Saccharomyces cerevisiae S288C: one gene and its partners. Changing the gene in region 4 together with the main gene of any one other region gives a genetic interaction. Each region holds a gene or a part of one and is shown on either strand. Other genes may lie near its edges. The genes, in order: PAN2, SPT10, HEK2 and CCR4.

What was found.
Region 1: mutations in CCR4 (region 4) and PAN2 impair growth when combined (synthetic growth defect), as found in Saccharomyces cerevisiae (5 studies listed by BioGRID, with this or other methods).
Region 2: of CCR4 (region 4) and SPT10, a mutation in one rescues a mutant of the other (synthetic rescue), as found in Saccharomyces cerevisiae (3 studies listed by BioGRID).
Region 3: mutations in CCR4 (region 4) and HEK2 impair growth when combined (synthetic growth defect), as found in Saccharomyces cerevisiae (4 studies listed by BioGRID, with this or other methods).

Annotation. Positions count from the first base shown.
Region 1 is NC_001139.9:330,618-336,306, forward strand, and holds PAN2 (poly(A)-specific ribonuclease), read right to left. Parts: upstream 3,849-5,689; coding exon 501-3,848; downstream 1-500. Other genes in the region: kinetochore-microtubule binding complex subunit SPC105, read left to right, coding at 4,269-5,689. UniProt on the Saccharomyces cerevisiae protein: Catalytic subunit of the poly(A)-nuclease (PAN) deadenylation complex, one of two cytoplasmic mRNA deadenylases involved in mRNA turnover. PAN specifically shortens poly(A) tails of RNA and the activity is stimulated by poly(A)-binding protein PAB1.
Region 2 is NC_001142.9:181,781-186,135, forward strand, and holds SPT10 (Spt10p), read right to left. Parts: upstream 2,441-4,355; coding exon 518-2,440; downstream 1-517. Other genes in the region: NIT2 (putative hydrolase), read left to right, coding at 2,721-3,644; tRNA 1-methyladenosine methyltransferase subunit GCD14, read right to left, coding at 3,748-4,355. UniProt on the Saccharomyces cerevisiae protein: Required for normal transcription at a number of loci in yeast. Affects transcription at Ty1 elements, at PHO5, STE6 and ADH2.
Region 3 is NC_001134.8:158,604-161,906, reverse strand, and holds HEK2 (Hek2p), read right to left. Parts: upstream 1,724-3,303; coding exon 578-1,723; downstream 1-577. Other genes in the region: SHE1 (She1p), read right to left, coding at 1-208; RIB1 (GTP cyclohydrolase II), read left to right, coding at 2,214-3,251. UniProt on the Saccharomyces cerevisiae protein: RNA-binding protein involved in the correct localization of transcripts in the cell. RNA localization is a widespread mechanism for achieving localized protein synthesis.
Region 4 is NC_001133.9:110,322-115,294, forward strand, and holds CCR4 (CCR4-NOT core exoribonuclease subunit CCR4), read right to left. Parts: upstream 3,039-4,973; coding exon 525-3,038; downstream 1-524. Other genes in the region: nucleoside transmembrane transporter FUN26, read right to left, coding at 1-109; ATS1 (Ats1p), read right to left, coding at 3,293-4,294; DNA-dependent ATPase FUN30, read left to right, coding at 4,598-4,973. UniProt on the Saccharomyces cerevisiae protein: Acts as a catalytic component of the CCR4-NOT core complex, which in the nucleus seems to be a general transcription factor, and in the cytoplasm the major mRNA deadenylase involved in mRNA turnover.

The DNA of each region.
Region 1 (5,689 bases), on a different chromosome or scaffold from region 4:
TATACAGTAAAAGATGGCCTTAACTCAAAACCAAGTCACTGTACCTCTTCACTCCTTAATGTTACTCTGGGTACATTGCATATGAGCCAAGGCACTTCTATAAGTAAGTTCGAACGTTAACTAACTGTAATGACGTTACCCTTTCCTGAAATTGGCAGAAACAAAAATGAACATTTCTGGCAACTTTTCGCCATACAGTCAGTACTCGTTACGGACGCCCGGGAAACAAGTAGGAAACATATGAGAGGCCAAACAAGGGTAAGACCTTCTTTTCTGGTAATAGATATTACTTCATCGCACAAAGAAGTCTAATTCTGGCGTGTGATGACAAAAAGGTTTAACAAGACCTGTTTCAAAATGTTTGCATATGTTGATTACAGTATATATAATAGTACACAAACACCGGTAACATTTTATAATTTTTTTGAATTTTTTGTATACTTTTCCAACCAGTGGTGCGCTGGTGGCTCTTGAGATTACGTGAAAGGCACTGCACCATATTATCCCTTTGAAGTTTCTGGAACTTTGAAATTATGGGCTCTTCCTTCTTCGTACACGCTGTTCAGTACTTTCTCAAAGATAGCTTTTTCTTTCAGGTGGAGATATTTTTTGTAAAGAATCAAGGCAGTATGGGCATCTTCAATTGAATCGTGATTTCCCTCTTGGATATTCATTCCTAACAACACATATGCCAGATAACGCAATGAAAGATATCTCTTTCCTTGTAGAAAATATATGGCAGTGTCGCGAATTTGGTTTCTTGGGACATTAATATTAATGTGTTTGAAGTCATTATTCAAACCATGACCAACAAATACGCATCCGAGCTGCATTAAAAGCCAGACTTTTCGATATACAACGTTTCTTCTCACAAGCCTTTTGGTACTCTTTTCAGGGTCCAAGTCACCAGGAAGAATCCCACTATATCTTGTCAAATAGTCTTCTATGTGGTTCGTGTTTACCACATAATCATCGACAAATGGTACTCCATACAGTTCTCCTTCTTCGCCTCTAATAATGGATATTCTGGCCAAAGCAGTTCTTTTAGGTCGAATAATACTTCTGATTCCTTGATGATCGATTTCACATAGTTCACTTTGTAATGAGACAAATTCGGCATCAATGGCAACCAAGGTTCCAGATTTAGGTGCCTCATCATGTGTTAATAACTTATATTCACGTCTTGCAGTATCTCTTATTCCGTTTGCGAAATAATCACGGAAAAGTATGTCATAGTTGATGGAATACGTATCAACAGAAAAGAAAGGTTTTCGTAATTCTTCCGCATCACAATATATGATAATTTCTGGTGTTTTCCAAGGGTATGTCATTTTAAGCGCCTCTTCCTCTGTTATCTCAACAACCAAATAATCATTAAACATGAGCCACTTGAAGCAATTCTCTTTTGGATTATATTTTTTGACATATGTTACTAGACGCGTCTCGTTATTGTTATCAGTGATTTTAGCCACGTAACCATTCAATTCGTATTTAAATATGTGGCTTGTGCCCTTCAATTCGGACGCCGTCGATCTTAGAACTGCCTTGTTTTTAATGATGCTTCCATAAAATTCACTAGTTAACCAGTTTTTCGACGACCTTATATTGGAAAATTCGGTATCTAATAGTGATAATTCTAATGACAACACTGAAGGTAAATTCTTGACAGTACACTCCTGGGTGATAGTTTCGGTTTTGCCGCAGGTTGGGCAAATACTGTTCTTTTGGGTTACATTTTTCATGGCATATTCAATATAAGGCAAAATATTCTGTCCATTGCTTTTCTTGTTCAATTGTTTGATTACGGTTTTGTTGATTCCTGATATTGATAAGGAGGGTAGAAGTTTGACGGTAGTGTCGTAGTGATCACAGCTACACTCTGTTCGTATTTCCGTTTCCAAACCAAAGCATTGATTTAGGGTGATATTATGGTTGACTGTCTGCGCTTCCTCTTTAATAAGTTGCGAGAGCAGGAATCTGTTAAATTTTTGAGGCATATTGCGTTTAATACTTTCAGAAGAATTAAAATCCTCGATACTTTCCCTTATGCACAGCGATTCTAAATACTCTTCTAAATGTTCTTGTGGTTCACCGTTTTCTAATTGTCTTTTATCAGTTAAGGATTTCAATGACGCCTGAAAATTGGAAGAACTACATATTTTTCCATGTGATCTTTCCATCATGTCAAAGAGGTAGCCTAGATCAGTTAGCAACGTTGTTTCAAAATTCTCGTCTTTCAAACACCCAACAACGAAATTAAACATTTCTGGAATAAAGCGATACAATTGTATGATAGCATTTGTGTAGTGATTATCAACATCTGGATCCAATCCTGAATACTCAGTGTTATTAAAGGGCGTAAAATCAAAATTATCAGTACCAAATCTACCTGATGTCAGTGGAAGTCTACTGTATGCAGGGGGTACTTCGTACTTGTTGATTGAGGTATATGTCTGTATATCGCTGGTTTCTAAACCGCTTGTTATCTGTTTCCTTATATCTCTTAGACAAACGTAATCTGGTATAGCATTTCTCATACCGTATTTGGTGCGATCATATCTTAACAAAGGAAATTCTTGTGTGCTCAACTTCTCATTTTGGCTCGAGATCACAGCAAGGTTACTTTTTAATTTGCCGCTCGATGGTAAGGGTGACTTACCTGTTAATTGCGGTATGGTACCTTCACTTTTAAACACTACAGGGGGCCATGCAGACAAAAGTTTATCAAGATAGTACGGCATCCCCACAGAACTCAATGGATATGTTTCATCGTCGACAGATATTGGGCCGTCAGAGGTAATGTCATTAAAATAATCAGGATATGCTAGCATTTCAGGGGTATTGGTAAACATTCCCATGTTGTTTGATGATCTTCTCCATGTATCTAGGTGATTATCAGCTTCTAGTATACCCAATACGTCACCATTGGGGGACAAACATAACTTTTTAATCGACTGGCAAGGATGAACATATTGTGTTCTTAAAGTTGGATTGGAAAGGTCGATGAAATCAAACGAACCAGAACTTGAGGCGACGATCATAACAGTAGGAAGCAAAGGATGTAATTGAACAAAATCTGCGCCTCCAGATCCCATAGTTGTTCCTTTAGAAAAGGAAACAGGAGGGAGTTGACGCATTGTTCTCAAGTCGTAAACATTCACAAATGGGTCAGCGTATAAGTTATAAAATCTTTTGGACTTCCCTACTGTAACCAAGGTGTTATCCCGTAAATCCATAGCGGATATGGATGCAGAGTGTGCATTAAATGATTTGATAGTACGATTCGATGTTGGATCTAGCAAATCCACAGTCCCTGTTTGTCTTCCGATAGACAAAACTTTATTATTAGAGCACATTAACTTCACTTTAGATGAGTAATTCAAGAGGGAATCTAAGCAACCTCTGTTCAAGTCAATGGACGCAATTCCCCAATTTGTGTTGTCACCACCACAGTAGATATTGTTTTTCAGTGAATGAGGAGAATAGCACATAGTGTTCAATTCGCTAAATGCAGCAATATCAATGCTAGTGAGGTTCAATTTAGTAACACCTCTTCTATTAGCAAAGTGTAAGGAATCTTCACTAATAGATAAAATACCATCCCGATGACTGAGAATATCCTTCACGGAATTTCCACCTATGTGGCCCCTATATCTTGTATAAAGTTGAAAAGTTGGATCATATGACGAAATGCAACCATAGCTGTCTCCACTCCAAATTAAGTTTGCCTTCTCATCGAAGCTAATCGCTGTAATTTCCTTATCCCTATTATCGAAGCGAAAGTATGGCTTCTTCAAATGTTCCGAAAGATCAACTGGATTGTTGAAGAAATGTTGCCAATTATTCATAATACATTCACCATTCAGAAACTCAGTATAGCAATTGTGTTCTAGTAATCTCTTAGGGTGTAATGCAGTTCAAAACAAAAAATAAGCAAATAAAAAAATTTTCAGAATGTAAAAATTCTAGTTAAAATGAACGTGTATTATATGGTAATGATGTGTCTCTTGGAGATTCTATTTCTTGTGTTCCTCTATGCCCACATAGTACGTTATTTCCTATATATGCTAACGTTAAAAGCATGTTTCTTTTTCGTTATTCTCTCATTGAAAAAAACAATACGCGAAAGAGAAGGCGCCACCCGCCCCGTTTTAATACAAATAGATAAACACATAACAAAACAAAGGCTAATTAGACACTACACTCAGTGATTAAGTACTTAGTAACCGTGATTACGACGTCCCTTGTGATATCTAAGTGGGCTGACAATGAATGTGGATGAAAGAAGCCGGATTGGGGGTAGAGAGAAGGATGCGGGGCCCGGGAAAGGCATTCTTAAGCAGAACCAAAGCTCGCAAATGACTTCAAGCTTTCTAGAGAACCCTGGTGTTCGTATTCCTACCAGGATTATAACAAAAAAAGAAGTATTAGATGGTAGTAACACGACATCCAGGATCAATACTTCTAATTTACAGAGTATGGTAAAGAGAAGAGTTTCATTCGCTCCCGATGTTACGTTGCATAGTTTTACTTTCGTACCTGAACAAAACAATGAAATTAAGGAACCAAGACGTAGAAAAACTTCAACCAACAGCCCTACTAAAATATCTAGTCAAGAAGAGCCTCTTGTAACGTCTACTCAAATCGATGATGCTCGTACGGAAGAAAAAACAGCGGCAGAAGAAGATCCCGATACATCTGGGATGGAATTGACAGAACCTATAGTGGCGACACCGGATAGTAACAAGGCTTCACAGCATGATCCCACATCAATGGAAATGACTGAAGTTTTTCCTCGGAGTATCAGACAGAAAAATCCAGATGTAGAGGGAGAAAGCATTGAGTCAAGTCAACAAATCGATGATGTCGAGGCAGTGCGAGAGGAAACAATGGAATTGACGGCCATACATAATGTACACGACTATGATTCAATTTCAAAAGATACAGTAGAGGGCGAACCAATAGATCTGACAGAATATGAGTCTAAACCTTACGTTCCAAACAGTGTCTCACGCAGTACCGGGAAATCCTCTGACTATAGCGTGGAAAGAAGTAACGATAAAAGCGACCTTTCAAAATCTGAAAATAAGACGAATTCCTCTCAGCCGATGGAAATTACAGATATATTCCATGCTGATCCACAGAACCCTATGAGTCTACACAGCGACAATAACATCAATAATGATGGTAATGAGATGGAACTCACGCAAATACAGACAAACTTTGACCGCGACAATCACCACATTGACGAATCTCCCAGCGAAAAGCATGCGTTTTCTTCTAATAAGAGGCGCAAATTGGATACTGTCTCTGATTATGCTGCATCGGTTACGACACCAGTCAAAGAGGCAAAGGATACTAGTGGAGAGGACAATGATGGTGATTTAGAGATGATGGAGAAAATGTCACCCATTACATTTAGCGATGTTGATAATAAGATTGGGACGAGATCCAATGATGTGTTCACTATTGAACCCGGTACTGAGGATACTGGCATGCAAACCGCGACAGACGATGAAGAAGATGGGGAAAATGTCGATGATAACGGGAACAAAATAGTTGAGAAAACAAGACTCCCCGAAATAGACAAGGAAGGGCAGTCTGGTATAGCCCTGCCTACTCAAGACTACACTTTGCGGGAATTTATAAATGAAGTGGGGGTAGGGTTTTTAGATACCAAACTGATAGA
Region 2 (4,355 bases), on a different chromosome or scaffold from region 4:
TCGTTACGCTACCGTAGCTTTTCTCCGTGAGTGACTGATTTTGCTGCTGTACATTTAACTCCTTTTCTATTTAAATTGTGCGCTGCCATTTTCCGCATCGGAAAACCTAAGACAAATTTTGATGAGTATACTTGGTACGTGCCCACGCAGCCAATAGTGTCTCGTTCACGGCATCAGATACAGCAGTACTTAAAAGGGCACTGAGGATCAGGTTTCCTAATCTGGAAAATTTTGCAGCACAAAGCTTAGTTATTTATCTCCGATTATGGATTTCTGCAGTACCTAGGTTTCAACGTAAAACTGTAACAGAACCTTTCGTCATGCAAGCATAATTGAGTTGAGTGCCTTGTTTCCAATTTCAGTTTCCAATTTTACTTCAAAAATCACTTCTGAAATAAGATTTAAGACTTGTCAACCCTGTTCCAAAAGTGGACGCATCATTAAATGTACCTTTTTTCTGTACAAACTTTATAGTTTCTAGGGTTGGTGATGTGACCGTCTCTGGCAGAGTCGCAATTTAATAATAAATATTAGAATTGTGCTCTGTAAATGTATTAGATTCGTTGTTAACAATCTTAGTGACTGAATTCTCATTACCTTCACTGTTGTTCAAATCGATTTGTTGGCCAGTCACATCTTCACCTCGATGATTTATCTTCTGTTGTTGTTCCTTTTGGACCATTTCTAGAGCGGCCATGACGTTATCTTCGAGGCTCAACATAGCATCGTTCATTATAGTATGGTCATTTCTATCTAAATCGGGAACTGAATGGTTCATATCTCGTTCATCACGGTTGACGGGGTTCGCGTGATCCTGCGATTCGTTATTCGTTAAATGGGGTACAATTCCGTTGGAGGCAACATCCAAGTATTTTCGTCTTTTTCTTGAGTTTTCTTCCTCCACGAATCTATTGAAGGAATTCATTGACTGTTCGTCGTCCAATAGTGGCGTGCTCTGTATTGAGGAAAGAAACTCGGATCTTTTATTCGCTTCGTTGGCTTCAGCTGTTGTTGCGGGACTATTCGTGGCGTTCTGGAATGTGGGTTGTACGATATTAGTGTCTGGCGGAGTGGGTTCACCCTCCACATCATTCAGCGTACTGGAAATAATATTTTGAGGGAAATTTATTGCCTGTCCCAATAACGCATTATCATGCTTCTTGCTTTTTCTTGGATTGTTGATAGTTTCTATATGCTGCGTCGGTAGCATATGCGCCTGCTTAACTGCTCTCTTTTGTTCAATTATTACCCCTGTCCCGTCTTTGTACCTCATCTTGCATTTTTGGCACCGAGAGATTACCTCCGAAACAGTACTCTTGATTCCTCTCCAATGGTATTTTTCACCAATTTTGGAGGTCACCTTGTTGATGCCTAAATGTTCCATTAAATGTATCTCTAATGCAATCTGGATTTGTTGATCCGTGTCATAAATGATTTCTTTTCCTTTTGTCATCAACTTGCCATTCAATACCGAATGAGTTTTGGAAAGTACTCTTAATCTAGCCTTTTCGTTTCTATCACAATGTAAAGGATACTTGCCTGTTTCCAGAAAATGCTTTAATCGTTCATATTTCCCAATTTCGATACTCTTTTGAGGATCTCGTAACAAATCTATACTTTTCGTAATATGTGTGAACTCTTTACCATACATGAAAGAATCTACTGGGACATCAAAGCCCTTGAGAATCCCGGCTTCAGGCAGCTTTCCAATCCGCCTAAAGTTCAATCCTTCCAAAATTCTTCTGATTCCTACGTTCGTTCCGTAAATTAACGGGAAAAAGGAGGACGTAAATCCTAATTTCTTTGACCATTCTATGAATGTTTCCATTAGTGTTTTCCCAATACCTTTTCCACGAATACCAGCATTGACCAGAAATGTTCCTGTGACCACATGCGCTGACCGTCCAGGGTATGCTGGTTTGAGGTCAAATATGCCTAGACATTGCTTCTCCCACTGCATACTTAGATTTAAATTGCGACGTTCTTTTCGTTTCTTATATTGGGTGGTGTGCTTCGTGGTTTCTATTTCTGTTCCAAAATTATCATTTGTGTCCGCTTCAGTATCCATACTATAATCCAGTTCTGGTATTTCGCCTAACACCATAATACAAACGTGACCATCATTATGAAACCAGACATTTTTGAATTCTTCTAGTGATAAAGTCTCGTAATAAGGAAAACTATCTCCCTTTTCCACTTCCATGTTAAATTCATCTAGAAGGAAATTTAAGAGCCCTAGCGGCAATAAATCAGGATACGCAGGTATAGGATACATCGTAGCTATTGTTTCTCCATCTTTCAATAAAATGGTATACGGTTGTAAAGGAGTCAAAAGTTGATCTGGGACCGCTGCCTCATTTCTCACTTCTGAACTGCTATTTTGGTGTGCCATCTGCAGATGTTCGTCATCCGGTACTGAACTTGTGTGCTGATTTAGCATTGAAGCTAATTATTACGATTTTTGTTGATAATCACTTTGGCGGAAGTCTAGAGTTGTTCTTGATCGGTACACTTTTTACTCATCCCCCGAGCAGTGAACTAACGCCAATGTAATGAATTTTGCTCTTTTATATTTTTCATTTTTTTATTATTTTAGCTCACGATCCGCATCTCGAATTTTCAGAGCTTACTAGATTCTAGGCCATTAGAAGTAAATGAATAGAGGTGAAATAAAATTCATACCCATCATGAAGTCTCCTTCATAAAATATAACACCGCAAATGACTAGTAAATTAAAACGGGTTGCTGTCGCACAATTATGTTCATCCGCTGACCTGACCAAAAACTTAAAAGTGGTAAAAGAATTGATATCTGAAGCCATTCAAAAAAAGGCGGATGTCGTTTTTCTCCCTGAGGCAAGTGACTATCTTTCTCAAAACCCTCTTCATTCCAGGTATTTGGCACAGAAAAGCCCCAAATTTATTCGGCAATTACAGTCAAGCATTACCGACCTTGTCAGAGATAATTCACGGAATATAGATGTTTCCATTGGGGTACACTTGCCGCCCTCAGAACAAGATTTACTTGAAGGCAATGATCGAGTCAGAAACGTTCTATTATATATCGATCATGAAGGGAAAATATTGCAAGAATACCAAAAACTGCATTTGTTTGACGTAGACGTGCCAAATGGACCGATATTGAAAGAATCAAAATCTGTCCAGCCTGGCAAAGCCATTCCTGACATTATAGAGTCTCCATTGGGAAAATTGGGCAGTGCCATTTGTTATGATATTCGCTTTCCCGAATTTTCTTTGAAATTACGATCAATGGGGGCTGAAATCTTATGTTTTCCCAGTGCGTTCACTATTAAAACAGGGGAAGCACATTGGGAGTTACTAGGCAGAGCAAGAGCGGTTGACACTCAATGCTATGTGCTCATGCCAGGGCAGGTTGGAATGCACGATCTCAGTGATCCAGAGTGGGAGAAACAATCACATATGAGCGCTCTCGAAAAAAGCTCCAGGAGAGAATCTTGGGGACACTCAATGGTCATTGATCCTTGGGGTAAAATAATAGCGCATGCCGATCCCTCTACTGTTGGACCACAACTAATTCTCGCTGATTTGGATCGTGAGCTTTTGCAAGAAATAAGGAACAAAATGCCCTTATGGAACCAGAGAAGAGACGATTTATTTCATTGAGGCAAATAAAATATGAAAAAAGCCTTTATTCGTACAGATTTGCTTTACATATTAAAAATTTCAAAAACATATAATTTAAGTATATAAGTAGTTAATCATTTAATTATTTTTCCGTGGATCGAAGAATTTCGTTAACTTTTTCATCATCTCTTGATCTATTCACAACTTTAAATGCAAAAGTCAAATATGAGGTATGGGATTTGATCTCAGCTTCCATCTTTGTGACCTCCTTCCATTTATAATTACTATCACCTTCCTTGATTCGAGAACCTTTGCCAAAAGGATTAAATTTGGCCTTTTCTGTTAATGGTACGCCATCCTCGTTTCTTTTTCCAACTTTTTCATCGTTAGAATCTATTGTATTGTTAAACATCCGCTTGCGTCTTTCTACACCCTGGAGTTTGTGCCTCTTAATATCTCTCAACCTTTCCAGGGCATCATTGAGTGATCTGACCATTTGTCTTCGACTTTCGTACTGTCTACCTTGAATTTCCACCATTTCAACATCCGTCCAGCCATATTTCTCTAATACATCCAATGTTTTGTCTACTTGCTCAATGCATGGGGAGAAGCAACACAATCCGACCTTTTCGTCTACGGAAATAACAGAATCCAGATGAGGTATAGCATCCCAGGGAGCCGGCAGATCTAAAAACACTACATTTGCATTCAATGAAGCGGCGGTTTCATTATTGCCAAATTCGTAAGATG
Region 3 (3,303 bases), on a different chromosome or scaffold from region 4:
GATCTTTTAAAAATTCAAATTTTGAGCTAGCTCTAGAATCCAGTTCACTTAATACAGAATTTCCTAATCTTTTGGAAACGCCAATAGTCTCGATGATATTGCTATTGTTATTTGAATGAAAGTCTATACTCATATGCGGCGGCGTGAAACCATTAATTTGTGAAGTGGTGTCTTTTTCGTTATGCTCTTCTTGGAGTTTATCATTCATCCATGAAGATAATATGTGTTCTAGAGCTGTAATTGCATGTTTATTGTTTATTTGTTTATACCATTGCCTAGAAACTTACGATTTTTTCATGTTATTTTCCCCTTCCCTCTCTGTGCCTCTAGCCGGCGATGCGCGAAATGTTTAAAGCAAGAATTTCGATAGTAATAAAGAAAATACAACGGCTTTATTGAGTATTTATAAAACGTTTTTTTTTAATTCAAAATACATATACATGAATAAATATATACATATTGAATCATTTTTTTCCCTTTAATAAAAATACAGTTTAAACTAGTAATGATGCAACATTATTCGTTAAGATGATAGTTTGTTTTGTCTGTGTGGGACGTGCGCACGCACACGTATATACTACGACTGCTCCTCTTTGTTATCATGATTCTCTTGAGGTTCTTCCTTCTCTTCCAAGAAAGAAGCAGAATCAGAGCGTTCAGTAACAACAGTGGCATCTCCTTCGGCAGCTTCCAATTTTCTCTTGTAGTTTTCACGTTTCTCAATTTCAGTATTCAGGTTCTTCAAAAGCATGGACTCAGCAAGTTTGACATTCTTAGGAAATTTACTTGTGATTATGAATTTTCTAAAATTTTCGTCTTTATCATCGTCATCCTTCCTTTCCACGACAATATTGGTTTTTGTGAAAGTTTTCAAATTCTTAATTCTGTTCATTCCACGGCCAATAATGGCGCCTACATACAGTTCTGGAATCTTCAATTCGATCCTAGTGTTAGATGAGGTAGAAGGGGAAGTTGGCTCACCGGAGGACTTTTTCAGATGAGGGAAATAAGATCTTTCTGTGCTGAATCTGACGTCAACGTCACTCAAGATGATCTCGCTAATTTCGATAAGTACATTGGTGATGGATCCTGGGAAACCCTGGATCTCGATAATTCTCTCGTCGCTAGCAGGTAAGAAGTCCTTGGAAGCCACGATCTTAACGCCGTGCTTATTGATCAGGGACTTGATGGTGGCGCCTGCTTTCCCGATAATCGATGAGATATGGGAATTGGCCACAATGAGCCTCACATAACCGATGTCCTCCAGTTGCTGCAGATCTCTGATCTCGTCCTTTGAGGGAGCTGGTAAAATATGGTTCAAAAAGTGGAAGTAGTAGTGCTCTTCCGCTTCGCCCTCAGCTGCGTCCTCATTTTCGGGATTCCGTTTGTTAAGCACGTCAACAATATCACCAATGGCATTGGCCACATTGATTACGTTCCCAGCACAGGACAGGATCCTGTCAGAGCAACCGGGCACCTTTTCAGAAATACCGATCTTGACGGCGTTTGCAGCTCTTATGCGTGAGATGGTGGAGCCCTTAGTGCCAATGATCTTGGCAGCCTCTTTCAATGACAGCAAAAGCCTGTGATTGATGGTGGGTTGAGCGGTGGTGCCAACAACGGGGGCGCCGCCAGTGGCGGCGCTGCCGGCATCACTGGAGCCGCCGTTGGTATTGTTTGTGGGAATTGCAACGGGAGTAGCAGCTTCGAAGAACTGTGACATGGCTGGTATATATACTAATGCTGTCTCTAAGTTACCCGATAAGTTGATGCTTTGTTGTACAGGGGACGCGCGATAGGAGTGGGGAGCAATATGCTTTTACTTCGTATGCCAAGTAGTTATATATGCTCGGGTACTTATGCTCCAGATTATAGTCTTGTTTGTTGTTTGGCTGAGCGGCCGGACACACAGAAAAAAAACAAAAGGGCTTTCGTTAAAAGGGATAGGGTAATGTCTAGACTTAGCATAGGGCTAAAACAGAAATAGTAGGGTCTATACCGTTTTTGAAAACAAGTTGTGTAGGGTGAGACTTTTTCTTTTTCCTTTGAGTTTTTCTTTTTCTTTTTACGATTTGTCAGAAATTAGTCGGACGCTCTTGTGGGGTGAGCGCCAGCGCCGCTATAGTATATATAAAGAAGTTGCTGTGCTGGCGTGGACAATAATTGAGTCATTACAAAAAGTGGCGTACATAAAACTACAACAAACCTACAGGATGACCATAGATAACTACGACAACAGTAAACAGGATAGCAGCAAATACGAGGTTAGTGGTACGGGTGATGGCAGGAACGGCGATGGCGGCTTGCCTCTAGTACAATGTGTCGCAAGAGCTCGTATCCCAACCACACAGGGTCCGGATATCTTTTTACATCTTTACAGTAACAACAGGGACAACAAGGAACATCTAGCCATTGTGTTTGGTGAAGACATACGGTCGCGCTCGCTATTCCGTAGAAGACAGTGCGAGACGCAACAAGATAGAATGATCAGGGGCGCTTATATTGGCAAACTGTATCCCGGCAGAACTGTGGCAGACGAAGACGATAGACTCGGATTAGCTCTGGAGTTTGATGATAGTACAGGTGAGTTATTAGCTTCCAAAGCCACTACATGGGACGCCCATAACGACACGCTGGTACGGATCCATTCTGAATGTTACACCGGTGAAAACGCATGGAGCGCCCGTTGTGATTGTGGTGAACAATTCGATAGGGCCGGTAGGCTTATCGCTTGCGACCACGAACCCACAAGCAACATCAAAGGTGGAAACGGCCATGGTGTTATCGTGTATCTAAGACAAGAGGGTCGTGGCATCGGGTTAGGTGAGAAACTCAAGGCCTACAACCTGCAAGACTTAGGTGCTGACACAGTGCAGGCCAACTTAATGCTGAAACATCCCGTGGATGCTAGGGACTTCTCGCTGGGTAAGGCTATTTTGCTGGATCTTGGCATCGGTAATGTCAGGCTGCTGACAAATAACCCGGAAAAGATAAAACAGGTAGATCATGCGCCTTACCTTAAGTGCGTTGAACGAGTGCCTATGGTACCCATACACTGGACAAACTCCAGTGAAGGCATAGACTCCAAGGAGATAGAAGGTTATCTCAGGACCAAGATAGAAAGAATGGGTCATTTACTAACGGAGCCTCTGAAACTTCATACAAACCCTCAACCTACTGAGACAAGTGAAGCCCAAAACCAAAACCGTATGAACTCTGCGTTGTCATCAACATCGACGCTGGCAATATAAACACAAGTGTAGCATAATTATTAGTACATATAGTGCTTTTTTTGTAATGAAA
Region 4 (4,973 bases):
GTTCTTCTCCAGAGCGTGATATCTCCTCTGAATGCGTATCGGCCAGTGCAGGCTCTGGCACCGCAAGGATTGGCTTCTTGATGGTATCAGTGTCCGCACTAGTACTCATTTTTGCAATCTGGTATGCTTTCTTGCGTTTGATGATAAGCTGTCGCCGTAACGTAAATCATTCATCCTTTCCTATGATTTTTTAAGTCAATTTTTTTTTCTTTTTCGGGAAATTAATTCTGTTTTTGGCATTAATAACAACAAGAAGAATTAAGGATTCGTTATAGAATACAAGATTCTTGGTTTGGTTAAATAATTTTGGCTCTCTTAAATATTATAAAAAGATACTTAAGTAAGAAAGAAACAGGACGAAAAAGATACGCAAAAGAGAGAGAGAGAGAGAGAGAAAAAAAAGATGAGAAAAAAAAGTATAACGTGAAGGCTTTATGGGAAGTGCGGTGAGATTGGGATCGTTTCAATTTTATAATGAGGTAGTGTACAGAGAGGAGGGAGGGAGTGGGATGAAAGTGTGCGGTTTATACTTTCTTACTGCCTGTGTTTGTCTTCATAAATTCAAATCTTGCTAACAATGGTATATGGTCACTGGGGAATTTGTCGTTGGGGAACCCGATAAACTTACTCACGTATTCAGGGTCCACTTCACCCAATAGCCCACGCACCCTTAGAGCATGTGTAGAAAACCATATATAGTCGATAACATCTGTGAATGACGGTGTGAAATTGGTGAATGGTAGTTCTCCGATACAATTATAACTTGATTTGAGAGCCAAGTTATGTGAGAAATTTTTCTCCGACATGTAACCGAAATCTCTACCATTTCCCTCTTGATGTATTTGGACACGGCCTGTATTTATCAATTCGTATACGGCGGAGTTGATGTATGAATTGAAGTCACCACAAATGAGCACAGGAAATTTCTTAATGTCCTGTCTAAAATTGTGCGATGTCTCCTCCTTTAGCAGCGTTTCCAGATGATCTAACAGGACACCTACTTGGAATGTCTTGACATCATTAAATTTTGGATCCCAGTGCAAATGCGTGGTGACCGCCCATATGGTGTCGCCACTAGGAATGTGTTGTAGCTTTAAGAACAGTGCAACGTTGTCTTTGTTCATTGCACGGTTTAAATAATCTTCAGTTCTTTGGAACTTCTTGTGTTTCATCCAAGCACCGCTGAAATCCATGGCGTCTTTGGTGATCAACTTGAATTGGTCCCTTTTGAAAAAAATGCAACACCCGTCCACTTTCTTGGAGTCCTTGGAATGCATGGTCTTGGCTCTTGCCTTTGCATGGAAGATGCCTGTATAACCGTGCTTGTCCAATAGGGGCACCCAATACTCTTCAAAAGTCTTAGACTCCACTTCTTGTAAACACAACAGATCACTGTCGTACGAGAGAATCTGCTCCTTTAATTTATTGCGCCTGTAATCCCAACTTAACGCCCACGACGGTGTGTAACGGTACATTTTTGGGGTGGCATAGTGTTGACATAAGGTGTTGTAGGATAAGACGGTGAACGTCCTCTTGGCTAAATCGGTGGCCAGATGCTCAGTGGATTGCTGCAAAGAATCGTACTCCCTCTGTGGTTCCCCATCGGTATTGATTTCGATGAACCTACGTTCATGCGGTAAGGGAATCTCTGGTCTGTTGTCCCTTAGGTAGAAAATCAATCCCGTGACAGATTTTTCTGTAAGGATCTTTAAAAACTGTTTTTCTAAGGGGTTTCCTTCTACACCAAGAAACTGAAGGTTACACAGGTTCCCAAACTCCCATGGTAATGTGGTGACCATGTTATCAAAAAAGTAGAAGTATTTCAATTGGAAACATGAGCCTAGTTCCGCTGGTAGAGATGTTAACCTATTATGCGACAGGTCCAAAACGCGTAGGTTGCTTAGGTTCTTGATCTCCGCTGGCAGTTCCGTGAGGCTATTGCCATTCAAATATAGTCTCGTTAGAAAATCGTACTTGAAGATGTTGGCGCTGATATTGAAGATTTGCAAGTTGGACAAATCTAGCGCGTGCCATAATTGGTCGTCGTATTTCGAGTCCTTGGGCATGACCATTCTGTTTTCAATGTCGTCATCTTCGTCGATGCTGTACTGAGACAGTTTCTTGTGTTGTAAGAGCGCCTGGTTGGCTTCGTCCTTGCCATTAGCAAACAGCTCTATCTTGGGAGTCAATGGTGTAGAAACTGCACTGTTAGTTGCCGTGCCTGAGGGAGTGCTATCTCCCGTAGGTTGTTGTTTCTTTGCTGTCTTGCTGTCGGTGAGAGTGTCGGCCATTTCCATCAAGGCTTGCTTTGTGCAGTCTACCAGTGATTTGGAGGCTTCTGCAATGTGAGATTGCTGGAAATCGGTGGGCTGCAAAGCTGGTGGTGCAGCCTGAGGTCCGGGGCCAAATGGGCCCGGGACCTGCTGCTGTGCCTGTTGCTGCGCTTGTTGCTGAGCTTGCTGAGCCTGTTGTGTAGCCAAATACTTCTTCATAGCGTTTTGTCTAGCATAAATGTTGGGTTGCCCCAGAGATTGTGCGGACACTGCAGCCAGATGCAATTGAAGCTTCCAGATCGGATTGTTTAGTAAAGAAGGGTCATCCAAGTGCGGGTGTAATAAAGGGTTACTGGCGTTCACATTGATGTTCACAGGCGTACCAACGGTAGGAACCATCCCTATAGAATTTACTGCGGCTGTGGAGGCATTCATCATCACCCCGCTTCCACCGCCGTTGTTGTTGTTGTTGTTGTTGTTGTTATTGTTGTTATTGTTGTTATCCATGTTCATATTGAGCATGTTCGCGTTCCCATTAGCCAATTGGTCGAGCAACTGGCGCGAGTTGTTGTTGCTGGAAGTGTGTACATCGCTGTTGTTCATGAGTCCCGGTGGAGGTATCCCGGTGAGCTGGTTCATGTGTAGCTGCTGCTGTAGAGCGTTTGGTGTACCCTTTCCTAGTAGCCCGGCATGCTGCTGTTGCTGCTGTTGCTGTTGCTGCTGCGGGCCCACATTAGGGTAGCCTAGTAAAGAAGGGTCGTTCATTAGCGGTAGTTTGCAGGGATAACGTCAGTCGGAGTTCCCTTGCTGGTGTCCCTTATGCTGTGCCCTTGTGCTTGAGAACCTTCTCTAAGGTGGAAACTTTTTCAAATTTTTTCGTTGTTGGCCCGTTTTTCGCAAGTACGGGCGATAACAAAAGGCCTAAACGGCTACTTTACCTTTGAGATCTACCACGATGAGAATTAATGCTGAATGGACATCTATGTATATGATAGTGGGTATATAGTTACTTATCAGTGCTAGAGCACGATCCACGTGGTGGCACATCCGCCAAACACGCGAGGTTTTCCAGAGTATTGGCCCACGAGCTGCAGTCCAGGCTGGGAGCCCTTTTGCGGGCCGCAGTTGCCATGCTCTCCCCAGCCCCAGCAGTATACATTGTAACAGTGAGACTTGCCTTCTTGATTAGCAGTAGTTAGAATACCGTGCTCACTCCCGGTTGCAACACCGACAATAGGGAAGTCTAGGCGCTCTTGCGGGAAGAGTTGGGAATGTGTGCCCCTACCAAACGACTCTACCGTATTGAGGCGCGCATTCCACAGGTGGATCGAGGTCCACATGCACAGTACCACTAGATTGTGTCTTTTTTGCTGTTGTTTGAGCTCGAACCCAGTGGGCAGGCGACCGGATGCGTGCACTATGCGGCCGCCCTCGTCCACTATGACCATGAAGTCCTTGCCCATGGCCACGTAGTCTACGGCCACAGACCCGGTATCGTACACCAATACGGGCTCTTTCAGTGATCGGGATTTGGGCTCTTGCAATTGACACTTTGTGTTGCTGCCCCAGCCGTATACTCGGGTGCCTTGCACCACCACAAAGTTCTGGAAACATCCGTATACTGCGATGCGCTCATCGTTGGAATTCAATGGCACATGTTGCTGAGTGAACTCGTAGCAACCGCCTCCTCTCTGCCATACACGGCCATCAGCATCCACAATAACTGTCGTGTCCCAGCCGCACGCCACATCCACCACGGGTGCCGGTACTTCCACGGGCCTCCAGTCATGCACCTGCCGCAGTGCTTGCGCACTATCCAGTTCTCCCCGTCTGTTATCTCCACATCCTACCAGATTCCCGTCATTTGTCAGCATCACGCTGTGGTTCCCACCGCACGCTATCTTCCTGACTATTGCTCCATCATCTCCTGGCACAGACCTCTGTGGGGTATCCATATCCTCATCGTGCCCCAGTCCCAGTTGCCTTTGCCCATTAGACCCAAACGCATACACACAACTCATCGATACAAGCCTGTTATAGCCTTTAATGATCACATTCCATCACTTGCGCTTTGGATCTGCCTGCATTATCAAGGCTCAAACGGCTGCGTTACCCCCGTCGCCGCGAAATTTTTCATAATTTTTCACTTTGTAGGATTAAAAGAGATCATGAGCCCATCTCGCAATGCAACACGTAACTTAAATCAGTACTGGCGTGTGCTATAGTGCTCTATATTCGAGTTTGTTGCTACTGGTGGACACCCGACTATCTACAGTAAGGAACGTAAACAAGAAAAAGAGAGAAAATACGCTATAGTTGAAAACATGAGTGGTTCGCATTCAAATGATGAGGATGACGTAGTGCAAGTGCCCGAGACGTCCTCTCCCACCAAGGTAGCATCGTCGTCTCCCTTAAAGCCTACTTCGCCAACAGTTCCGGATGCAAGTGTGGCGTCTTTGAGAAGCAGGTTTACTTTCAAGCCTTCAGATCCCAGCGAAGGAGCTCATACTTCGAAGCCGCTCCCATCTGGGAGTCCTGAGGTAGCACTGGTTAACCTTGCGAGAGAGTTCCCCGATTTCTCTCAAACTCTGGTGCAGGCTGTTTTCAAATCTAACTCTTTTAACTTACAGTCTGCCAGGGAACGTCTTACAAGATTGAGGCAGCAAAGACAAAATTGGACATGGAACAAGAACGCATCTC